4 linked regions of the Saccharomyces cerevisiae S288C genome follow. The main gene of each other region encodes a partner of the protein of the gene in region 2 in a complex. Each region holds a gene or a part of one and is shown on either strand. Other genes may lie near its edges.

Region 1 (2,543 bases), on a different chromosome or scaffold from region 2:
CAGAGTTGAGATTATTTGCTGAGTATTTAAGTCCCAGATTTTTATAATCCCGTCAGTCAACCCGCAATATAAAAATGGGAACTCAATAGTTTGGGATATGACGCTATCTTCATTGTCGATTTTATCGTTTATCAAGGAGATTTTAACAGTGTTTTGCCCTTTATCTTTAGAGAACTCCCAAAGCTTGCTTATTCCATCACCAGCGGATGAAATTATGTGCTCTGCACCAGAAGTTCGTGAGCTTTTTTCCAATAACTGATTAAACCTGGGACACAATTTATTAATAGAATAAATAAACCCATAATGTGCATATTTAATAATGTTTTCGGAGGGAACCTCTATGATGGCAGCGCCACAGTTTTCTTGTAGAGAGGTCAATGAAGTTTGAGATAATGAATTTGAACTATATCCAGTCGGACCTAACGAATCAAAGAACTTATCATATCTTCTATGCGGTAATTTATTGATATTTTCTACTCCATCAGAGGATTTTTTTTCAATCTTCTGAATCAAGTTCTCAACATATAGTAAGCTTGCATTTTGACAGCCAAAGACAATAGTTTCCAACGAATCCAAATATGCCAATGAGAAAATATCACCAATATCGGTCACTGAGTAAACAGTGGCTATTTCAGTAACAGGTAGAAAGTCATCTCTAATGGTCTTTTCGCCAATGGACCAAATTCTCACCAAAGAATCTGCGCCGCCTGAAAATAAAAAGTTTTCATCTTCTGATCCTGTCAAGCACAAAACCGAAGATCTGGTATGCGTTTCCTCTTGTGATTCGCCTAGTCTAATCGTATGTATTAGATTATATGTGGGAAGATCAAAAACCAATATCTTGGAGTCTTGGCTACCAGCAAACAACAATCTTTTTTTTGGAAATGCAACAATGGATAAGATGGAAAAAGCGTGATTCCACCTATGAATTAGTTCAGAGTGCAATGCGACACCCCTGCTATCGTACATGATTTCACAATTACTTCTGCCCTCGTTTTTCACTTTTCCTTACAGGGTTGTTCGGTTTCTCGAAATAGTTTTTCACTTAAATAATTCAGTTACACACATTTTATTGATATTGGTGCCACAGCTTTTCGCGGCGCACAATGCGATTATCACTCAAGTTTATGGTAAAGTCGGTATTCCCTCTCATGAGAAAAAAAAAAAAAGATACCATCTTCATTGAACTTCTAATTGCAGCAGTAATTGTGAGCAATGCTCAAGAGCTTCCTTACCATATAACAAAACATCGAAATCAGAGGATCATTCTAGATCAAAGTGAAATGCCCTTAACTATGAAAAGGAATACGAAAATAGCTGTGAAGTGTTATTATAATTATTAACAAGGTTAGTAATCTTTAAACAGAGCCTAATACTTGCGGGAAGGACTTTCAATGTTGCTTCACTGCAGCTTGTTGGCGGCTATTTGATGATGATTTTCTTGAGATACATAATTATTATTATCACGTTTCACGGATTATTTTTGAAAAGCTAGAATTAATACAAAAGATAGGACTATTGAAGTAGTATACACCAATTTTTGCTTAAAAAAACTACGGGAATCAAAGATTACCTTGAAAGTGAGGACAGCAAATAACTAAAATGAAAGGCTCACCCATTTCTCAATTTAGTAAGACCTCTATTAATGCTCTTACCAGGCCTTGGAAGAAATACAGAGATGGTGAATTATTTTATGGGTTATCAAAAGTTGGGAATAAAAGAGTGCCGTTGACCACGAAGCAAGGTAACAAGACGATGTACAAAGGGACAAGAGCTTCAGGGATTGGTAGACATACAAAATTCGGTGGTTATGTGATAAACTGGAAGAAAGTCAGAACCTATGTTACCCCAGATATGGTTAATTTCGAATTAAAGCCCTACGTTAACGCAAATGTACCACCTCTAAAACACGAATTTAAAGGATTTAGCGGCGGCCCATTAGATCCTCGTTTACAGTTATTAAAGATAAAAGAATACATAGTAAACGGGAGGGTACAAAGCGAAGGGGCCACCGACACTTCATGTTATAAGGAGCGTGGATAAGTTATTTATAATCTTTCTTCAATATGCGTGTAAATACTAGTTTTCGACTTTATAGGTAGATAAAAAATAAAACTTAAGATTGTAAAACAAAATCAAATAAAACATGGCTTAGACATTGCACCATATGTCATCTTTCTTTGAGTTAAATATAGATACATATAAATCTAAAAGAAGAGCAAAAAGTTCGTACGTATATAAATGCGCGTAGCAGAGAGAATTTGATCTTCTTTTTTGTTTTCCTTCTTTTTTTTCTTTTCTTTGTTTACATAGCACCTGGAACACCCAAGACTTGATTCAAAGCACTTTGACCGCCACTTTGTTGGTATTCAATGGTAATGACTTCTAGCAAAGAAAACCCACCAGCAATGCCAACAACTATACCAGCAGCTTTACCTTTCAAACCCAAAGATTCACCGATAACGGTGATCAAACTTAAGACGGATGCACCCGTAACAGCTGCGATTGGAATGACTTTGTTCAATTCTTTAGCGACATTCTGT
Region 2 (2,758 bases):
TCCACCTTCTAAGAAACAAAAGAAAGAGGCTCAACTTCCCAGAGAAGTAGCTATTATTCCGAAAGATTTACCCAATGTTTCAATCAAGTTCCAAGCTTTAGATACTGGTGACAATGTAGGTGGCGCCCTGAGAGTTCCCGGTGCTATCTCCGAGAAACAGTTAGAAGAACTTTTAAATCAATTGAACGGTACTTCAGACGATCCAGTGCCATATACCTTCAGCTGTACAATTCAAGGTAAGAAGGCCAGTGACCCTGTGAAGACGATTGATATAACAGATAACCTATATTCTTCATTAATAAAACCAGGCTATAACAGTACAGAAGATCAGATCACGCTACTGTATACGCCAAGAGCAGTTTTCAAAGTCAAGCCGGTAACTAGAAGTTCATCAGCCATTGCAGGTCACGGTTCCACAATTTTGTGTTCTGCCTTCGCACCACATACGAGTTCTAGGATGGTAACCGGTGCAGGTGATAATACTGCAAGGATTTGGGACTGTGACACCCAAACGCCAATGCATACTCTAAAGGGTCACTACAATTGGGTTCTCTGCGTTTCCTGGTCCCCCGATGGAGAAGTAATTGCTACGGGATCCATGGACAATACCATAAGATTATGGGACCCAAAAAGCGGTCAGTGTCTAGGTGATGCTCTCAGAGGTCATTCCAAGTGGATCACTTCTTTAAGTTGGGAACCTATACATCTTGTGAAGCCGGGCTCCAAACCAAGATTAGCTTCATCTTCTAAGGATGGTACTATTAAGATTTGGGACACTGTGAGCAGAGTTTGCCAGTATACGATGAGTGGTCACACAAATTCAGTGTCTTGTGTCAAATGGGGCGGCCAAGGTCTATTGTATAGTGGCTCTCACGATAGAACCGTACGTGTATGGGACATCAATTCGCAGGGCAGATGTATCAACATTTTGAAGTCGCATGCGCACTGGGTTAATCACTTATCTTTATCTACAGATTACGCATTGCGCATTGGTGCATTCGATCATACAGGTAAGAAGCCTTCTACACCAGAAGAAGCCCAGAAAAAGGCATTGGAAAATTATGAAAAAATCTGTAAAAAGAATGGAAATTCAGAAGAAATGATGGTTACTGCAAGCGATGATTATACCATGTTTTTATGGAACCCACTAAAATCTACCAAGCCTATAGCAAGAATGACCGGTCACCAAAAATTAGTCAATCATGTGGCGTTCAGCCCTGATGGTAGGTATATTGTCTCAGCGTCTTTTGATAACTCTATCAAACTTTGGGACGGTAGAGATGGTAAGTTTATCTCCACATTTAGAGGGCATGTAGCCAGCGTATACCAGGTTGCGTGGTCATCGGACTGCCGACTACTGGTGTCATGTTCCAAAGATACCACGTTGAAAGTGTGGGATGTAAGAACTAGAAAACTTTCTGTTGACCTCCCTGGTCATAAAGACGAAGTTTATACCGTCGACTGGAGTGTCGACGGTAAAAGAGTGTGTAGTGGTGGGAAAGACAAGATGGTAAGATTGTGGACGCATTGAGTTATGTGCAAAGACAAGTAACATACATGCACATATAAATATTATATAACTGTGATATAGAACTGCATTTTTTTCTTTTTGAATATTAAATATGATGGTGTCGCAAGGTCGATCTATAATGGTCATCGCGTACGAATGGCTTGGTATGAATTTAAAATATGGTACTATAAGCAGTATAGCTCCAGCAAGAAGGAAAACCTTTTGAAAGAAGTGCCCGTTTACCTAAAGCAACTTACTCCAAGGTAGCGTGTGAGCAAAACTATGATCAGTTCGTGTGTTACTAGATGTTTTGGTAGGGGTAAATGCCTTCCAGGGCCTGCCACTGCCTCGATATACCAAACGATAAGATGTATATCCACTAATTCAAATAAAGCTGCTGAGGCGCCAATATTTCCAAAGCTGGAAGACGTGAAGATGCATGAGCTCATAGGAAACAACAATTTTGGTAAAAAGACCTACTACGTGGAGAGAAGCAGGACCGGAAATCTACCGGTGTATTCCGCTTATAAAAATGGAGGTAACAAGATTATCACGGAGATCAGAAAGATTGAAGGAGATGTAATTCAACTAAGAAATGACTTGCAGGAGCAACTGCCTTTCATACCCAAAAAATCATGGTCTGTGGTGATGCAATCGAAAAAAATTATTATCAAGGGCAATGCAGTAGAGGCTGTCAAAAGGGTATTAACCAAGAAATTTTAGGTATCGCTAATGTATAAAAAAATAATTGTCATGTATATATATTAATTAAAATCATAGCCATGTGGTCATCAAGCCATCGAAAAGAAGTTGCTTACTTGTGTCTTAATGAAACCGTATGAGGCTTTTCGTGCATGCCCTTGTAGGCAATGAAACAAAGGCCAAGAACAGTTAAACACATCAAGGCTCTGGAAATTGGGTGGTTTAAATCATAGGCGGTGGTTCCAGTGGAGGTGGTTAAAGGTGTGTAGGCTTTATCGTTACGGAAGATGTTTTCCAAAGTGGAGCCAACAGACACATCGCCATTTCTAAACTTCTCGACTTTTTCTGTGTACGCAGCGTGCAAATCTAAGATGTTACTAATTTTTAAGATTTCTAGAACGAAATACAGGAACCGTAATTCATGCTGAGGCTTTCCATATTCGTCTGTTTCTGTGTATTGAATAGCATCCATTAGTTGATCTAGACCAGAAGTTATTTGACCAAACACGACACTTTTGCCATCCAATTCCTCATTTCCATCGGCTT
Region 3 (3,421 bases), on a different chromosome or scaffold from region 2:
ATCTCATCCGTATTCTGAATTTCTTGGCTATTATCGTCGGCAAAATCTATTATAGCAGTCAACTGTGCCATATTCTCGATAATGGTTTCCCTCCAGTTCTCAAATAGGATTTTGTTATCCCCATTGAAACTTGACAAGGCAGATCTCCTTTGAGATTCTGTTTCCGAATCAATAAGATCTTTGATACCTTCAAGTTGGGTAAGGTCAAACTTTCCATTTTGAAACGCCCTCCTGGAGAAGTCGCCAGGCAAGGCAAATCTTATATCTTTACCACTGCTTCTATCGTGTAACGAGCCGATAGCTTTCAGTATACTATTAACTACGGCTTTCCCGCCGTGAACGTGCAGCTCTAACACATCCTCACCAGTAAATGAATAAGGAGCTTGGAAATATAGCAACAACGATGTGTCTAATAATATTTTACTTTCCTTTTGATCATGAGGTTTCACACTACAAGAGGACGGCGAATAAATGTTCCTCAAAATAGCCTTCCTGATCGGCGGAACTGTACTTGAATCAACTAGTCGATTGTAAATGTACTTAGCATGGGTACCAGATATTCTTATGATTGCTATCGCAGAGGTTTGATTTGCTGGTGTAGATAATGCATATATGGTTGGTTGCTGGAAGGTATAAGGCTTTGCAAGTCCGGAGTACCTCTTTAACGACCTTCTTACGAGAAAGGATCTCGAAATAAGCCGTGATTGTAAGAAAGATGCACTATTCATAAATAGAATACTTATTAACCATATATAACATTCTCTAAGTAGATAGCAGTCGTATGGAATATTGCTGTATCTTCATGTAACCTCGTAAAAGACGTTATATATGGGTTAGTTAGCCAAAAAAATAAAAAATGGACGAGTCCGGAATCGAACCGGAGACCTCTCCCATGCTAAGGGAGCGCGCTACCGACTACGCCACACGCCCGATTTGTATTGAAGACTTTGAAGAAGTATAGAAAACATAAATGTAGGATACATTTTTAAACTTTTATTAATGAAACCAATTTGAAGACATGTGGCAACCCGTGTTACTCATATATATATATATATATATATACAACTATCAGAAGATTATCAATCTAATAGATCTTTAACGCCGCCTCAGTACTTTCTGAACTGCAAGTAGAATATTTTTTTCTGGAATCGGCACATTCACATTCAGACGTATACGATGTCAGCACTTAGATTGCTACTATAGCAACTCATTTATTATTAATCCCCATTCGTTCCGATATGGATGGCATATTATTACCTTTAAGAAAGGTGGAGTTCCAAAGATTCATCAATTTTACTGTTTATAGAAAACGTTACGGAAAGATGAAAAGTAAACACCAAGGTCTCTTATGCCTTGACATAAAGAATACGGAATAGAATGATTGTAGACGCAACAAGATGAATAATTAATGGCAAATTATTATCCTATTAGATATAAATTACAGTCGCTTTAATGCGTGATTATAGAAAAGGTCCTTACAATATGCAGCCGGGTAAAGAGTGAAGTTTCCCGCCTCTGAAAAAGAGCAATACTAAAATAATCTGAAAAGAATTGGTGAAAAGAAAGCTGTAGTTATATATACAGAATGGGCATAGTTTTGAAAAGAGCAATAGCAGCAGGTATGAAACCTTTTCCAAACAGTACGTGGCATTGGAGCCGAACCATAAGACCTTTCTCACAGCATTTGTCTAGCACATGCTTTCTGCAGCAATCCTCGAGATTTACTTCAAAACGATACCTACACCTTTCAACATTAACACAACAAGAAAAGCGCTTCCTACCCGAATCTGAACTTGCTAAATATAAGGAATACTACCAGGGTTTGAAGAGCACTGTAAATGAAATACCTGAATCAGTGGCCTCTAAGTCACCTTCGTTAAGAACGCTTCATAAGAGATTACAATTACCTAATGAGTTGACCTATTCAACACTTTCCAGATGCTTAACGTGTCCCTCTGCAAAACTACCCGACAAGATAAATAATCCTACAAAAGGTGCAGCTTTCGTTAATACTGTACCTACTAATAAATACTTGGACAACCACGGTTTAAACATCATGGGAAAGAACTTGCTCTCTTACCACGTTACAAAATCCATTATACAGAAATATCCGAGACTACCCACTGTGGTTTTGAATGCTGCGGTTAACGCATATATATCAGAGGCGGTACTGGCGCACATTGCTAAATACTGGGGTATTGAAGTAGAAACTACGTCTGTTTTATCACGCTATTTGAAAATGGAACCATTCGAATTCACTTTGGGAAGACTCAAATTCTTTAATAATTCATTGAACTCTAAGGACGGTATTGAGCTAATCACCGGAAAGAACTTTTCAGAAACAAGCGCTCTTGCAATGAGCGTGAGGAGTATAATAGCTGCCATCTGGGCAGTAACGGAGCAAAAAGATTCTCAAGCTGTTTACAGATTTATTGATGATCATATAATGAGCAGGAAATTGGATATCACGAAAATGTTCCAGTTTGAACAACCTACAAGAGAATTGGCTATGCTATGTCGTAGAGAGGGGCTGGAGAAACCTGTATCGAAACTGGTCGCTGAGTCTGGTAGACTATCGAAATCACCTGTCTTTATTGTGCATGTATTTTCAGGCGAAGAGACATTAGGTGAAGGTTATGGTTCCTCATTAAAGGAGGCAAAAGCAAGAGCCGCTACTGATGCTTTGATGAAATGGTATTGCTACGAGCCTCTTGCTCAACAGGAACCAGTTATTGATCCTGGCACTGTTGTTGTTTAGTTCTGTGTTTGCCATTTTGTAGATAGAGAACTCCTTAACCAGAATACATTCTTGTACATATATATATACACGTTGGTACGATATGCGTTTACTTTATGTGTACTAAAATATATAAAAGTGAACAGAAGCATGTTCCTTGTTTACTACTATATCTTACCAGGAAACAGACAAAAAAAAAAAAGACTTGCTATATTTAAAGAGAACGCACATTTGTGAGGGGATAATAACACAAAGCAAAGTAATATAGGGTAAATGGACCTCCTAAAATTCAGTTCTCTAGCTATATCAGAAATTAACTTCCTGCACGAGTCATCGTTTGACTCGATAGACCACTCTTGGTTTTTATTGATAGGTTGCAAATTGGATCAAGATGATGAAATTTACATCCCAATAAATGGTAATGAAGCAGAGTCTCAATGGTATATTGAAAAAGTTATACGAATCCCGATGCAGGAAAATGATAAAATAAATCAAGAACGCCTAGAAAGGAGAATTAACCTAACAAAAGTGACTCAAAAGGACATTTGTATACTGGGTATTCTTGATTTATGTCAGTTAGAAGAGGACGAAAATATCACTAATAAAGTGACGGAGAAAGTGCTCACCCAATTGACCGCCTTGGCATTGAAATATCTGATAAAATATAACGTGTTTCGCCAACAT
Region 4 (2,400 bases), on a different chromosome or scaffold from region 2:
TCAAAAATCAATATTTTTATAGAGAACTTTGTTCAAGAGGAAGCTTTAACACAGATGTCTTTACTAATGACAATAGTCAGACTACATGCTACTTTAACGGGTAGTATGCTACAAAGCGTCCTAGAATTGGCCACACAACAGACACATGAATTAGATGTGCGAGATATGGCTATGATGTATTGGAGATGCCTTTCGATGCCAAATAATGAAAGTTTGGTTAATGATCTATGTCAAAATAAACTTCCAATGATCTCCAATACACTGGAGAAGTTTTCACCAGAAGTGCTAGAGAAACTATTAATGGAATTGGGTACTATAAGTTCCATTTATTTCAAGCCCGACTCAAATAGGAGAAAAGGCAAAAAGTATGTTCAAAATATAGTTAAAGGAAAACATATAGAGGAATTAGAAAGCATGGCAAAAAATGAAATTTCTAGCAAGGCTAACGATGATGTGCTATTGGATTTTGATGAAAGAGATGATGTAACAAATACAAATGCAGGAATGCTGAATACTTTAACAACTTTAGGCGATTTGGATGATTTATTTGATTTCGGACCATCTGAGGATGCCACACAAATAAATACAAATGATACCAAGGCTGTACAAGGGTTGAAGGAGCTGAAACTAGGTGGCGACTCAAACGGTATATCTTCTGGTGGTAAAAACAATCCCGATGTTTCGGGCGGCAATATAGTGTCACAGGATCTCCTCGATTTATTCTGACTATAAACGTCCGTTGTAGTGAACTTAAGTATTATACCATACATATATACCCTTCGTATTAATTTTTCCTTTTTATTGTTGGGCTGTGTGTATATAATTTATGTACAAGAATGGATATATCAAAAAATCCTTAAAAGATGTAAATCAAAAACATCAATCAACACAGCTTATTTTGTAGAGCTTTGTTTTTGACATAACTTTTCAAGCTTGTTGATTTTTTCTAAAACAATTTTATCCCTTTCACCATCTAAATATTTCTCATCTGTTTGATAAAACAGGAGGCACGATTTCATTTCATCTCGTTGCTTATCACAAGTGGGAAAAACTTTCATTCCATTTGCCTTAGCACAATCTGCCATTGCTTGAACAAAATTTGCACATTTTTTGTATGTTTCCGTCTTCAAGTTCTTGCGAGCCTGTTGTTCTTCGCGAGGACTTAGCACCCATATAGGTAGCCTAGAACTATGTTTCGAGATCATCTGCGGATCTTTGTTTTGCTCCATCTTATCAAATATATGAAAGTTGTTCCAGATAACTTGAAGATATTCGACTTTTGTATCTCTGGCTTTAATTATGGTTAAATCTTCCTAAACTATCATAGGTATAAATACAGGGCACTCCGTTTTCAACTTTATAATCGGAGAAGTACAAGAGCATTCAAAAAGTTCAAGAGAACGGTATAACAAAAGGACAAAGGGAAGCCAAAGAGGGAAAAAAGATATCCGTACTTTGTAGGAAGGAGACGTATTTAAAAGGCTACCCAAGTTATAAGACTCCAATGTTTGGCCCATTCAAATTAACAAGCCCCGTCGCTGGTGGCCTACTATGGAAAATTCCATGGAGAATGTCCACACATCAAAAAACCCGTCAAAGGGAAAGATTAAGAAACGTTGATCAAGTCATAAAGCAATTAACTTTAGGTCTCCACGTCCAAAGATGTCAGGATAAAGGTCTTACTTATCAAGAAGCCATGGAGAGCAAAAAGAAATACAAGCCAAGAAGTAAATCGTTAAGGTTGTTAAACAAACCATCAGTCTTTCCAAAGGAGAATCAAATGTCTTCTAAAGATAAATATTGGACTTTTGATAAAAAAGCTGTTGGTTATAGGAAGGGTATTCATAAGGTGCCCAAGTGGACGAAGATTTCCATTAGAAAGGCCCCAAAATTCTTTTGAATGATACGTAAAAGATCGTTTTATTGATATAAAAATTTCATCTGTATATAGTTTAATCATTGAATAACTTGTTTATAGATCCATGTTTGAAAGTAACACTCCTAAGAAGGCTTTGATGTTTTGTATTGCTCATATTATATCATGCCCATTGAAATCAACGTTATTTTTTTGTAAAGGTGGGAAGAAAGATCAACAAGATAAATGGCGAAATAGAACATATCAGAACATTTGAACTTCAAAACGAAGAGGACACAAAGAATTTCAGGCAAGAGAATGAACGCTAACAAACAAAGGCAGTATAATCAGCTTGCACACGAACTTAGAGAGCTTCAAACGAATTTACAGGAAACGACAAAACAACTAGATATCATGTCGAAACAATGTAACGAAAACTTGGTAGGCCAATTGGGTAAGGTACATGGAAGTTGGTTGATAGGTAGTTACATTTATTATATGGAGCAGATGCTTGGAAAAACGCAATAAGGCATAAGAGGTAAGAC

What was found.
Region 1: IMG2 (region 2) and MRPL27 share a complex: the UniProt entries of both Saccharomyces cerevisiae proteins name them as parts of the mitochondrial large ribosomal subunit.
Region 3: IMG2 (region 2) and MRPL3 share a complex: the UniProt entries of both Saccharomyces cerevisiae proteins name them as parts of the mitochondrial large ribosomal subunit.
Region 4: IMG2 (region 2) and MRPL31 share a complex: the UniProt entries of both Saccharomyces cerevisiae proteins name them as parts of the mitochondrial large ribosomal subunit.

What each region holds. Positions count from the first base shown.
Region 1 is NC_001134.8:766,638-769,180, forward strand, and holds MRPL27 (mitochondrial 54S ribosomal protein mL41 MRPL27), read left to right. Parts: upstream 1-1,602; coding exon 1,603-2,043; downstream 2,044-2,543. Other genes in the region: glutamine amidotransferase subunit DUG2, read right to left, coding at 1-969; SSH1 (Ssh1p), read right to left, coding at 2,306-2,543. UniProt on the Saccharomyces cerevisiae protein: Component of the mitochondrial ribosome (mitoribosome), a dedicated translation machinery responsible for the synthesis of mitochondrial genome-encoded proteins, including at least some of the essential transmembrane subunits of the mitochondrial respiratory chain.
Region 2 is NC_001135.5:239,578-242,335, reverse strand, and holds IMG2 (mitochondrial 54S ribosomal protein mL49 IMG2), read left to right. Parts: upstream 1-1,792; coding exon 1,793-2,233; downstream 2,234-2,758. Other genes in the region: RSA4 (Rsa4p), read left to right, coding at 1-1,531; peptidylprolyl isomerase family protein CPR4, read right to left, coding at 2,325-2,758. UniProt on the Saccharomyces cerevisiae protein: Component of the mitochondrial ribosome (mitoribosome), a dedicated translation machinery responsible for the synthesis of mitochondrial genome-encoded proteins, including at least some of the essential transmembrane subunits of the mitochondrial respiratory chain.
Region 3 is NC_001145.3:320,290-323,710, forward strand, and holds MRPL3 (mitochondrial 54S ribosomal protein mL44 MRPL3), read left to right. Parts: upstream 1-1,585; coding exon 1,586-2,758; downstream 2,759-3,421. Other genes in the region: MSS1 (Mss1p), read right to left, coding at 1-728; CSI1 (Csi1p), read left to right, coding at 3,011-3,421. UniProt on the Saccharomyces cerevisiae protein: Component of the mitochondrial ribosome (mitoribosome), a dedicated translation machinery responsible for the synthesis of mitochondrial genome-encoded proteins, including at least some of the essential transmembrane subunits of the mitochondrial respiratory chain.
Region 4 is NC_001143.9:184,786-187,185, reverse strand, and holds MRPL31 (mitochondrial 54S ribosomal protein mL60 MRPL31), read left to right. Parts: upstream 1-1,504; coding exon 1,505-1,900; downstream 1,901-2,400. Other genes in the region: APL2 (Apl2p), read left to right, coding at 1-726; CMC1 (Cmc1p), read right to left, coding at 894-1,229; HSK3 (Hsk3p), read left to right, coding at 2,174-2,383. UniProt on the Saccharomyces cerevisiae protein: Component of the mitochondrial ribosome (mitoribosome), a dedicated translation machinery responsible for the synthesis of mitochondrial genome-encoded proteins, including at least some of the essential transmembrane subunits of the mitochondrial respiratory chain.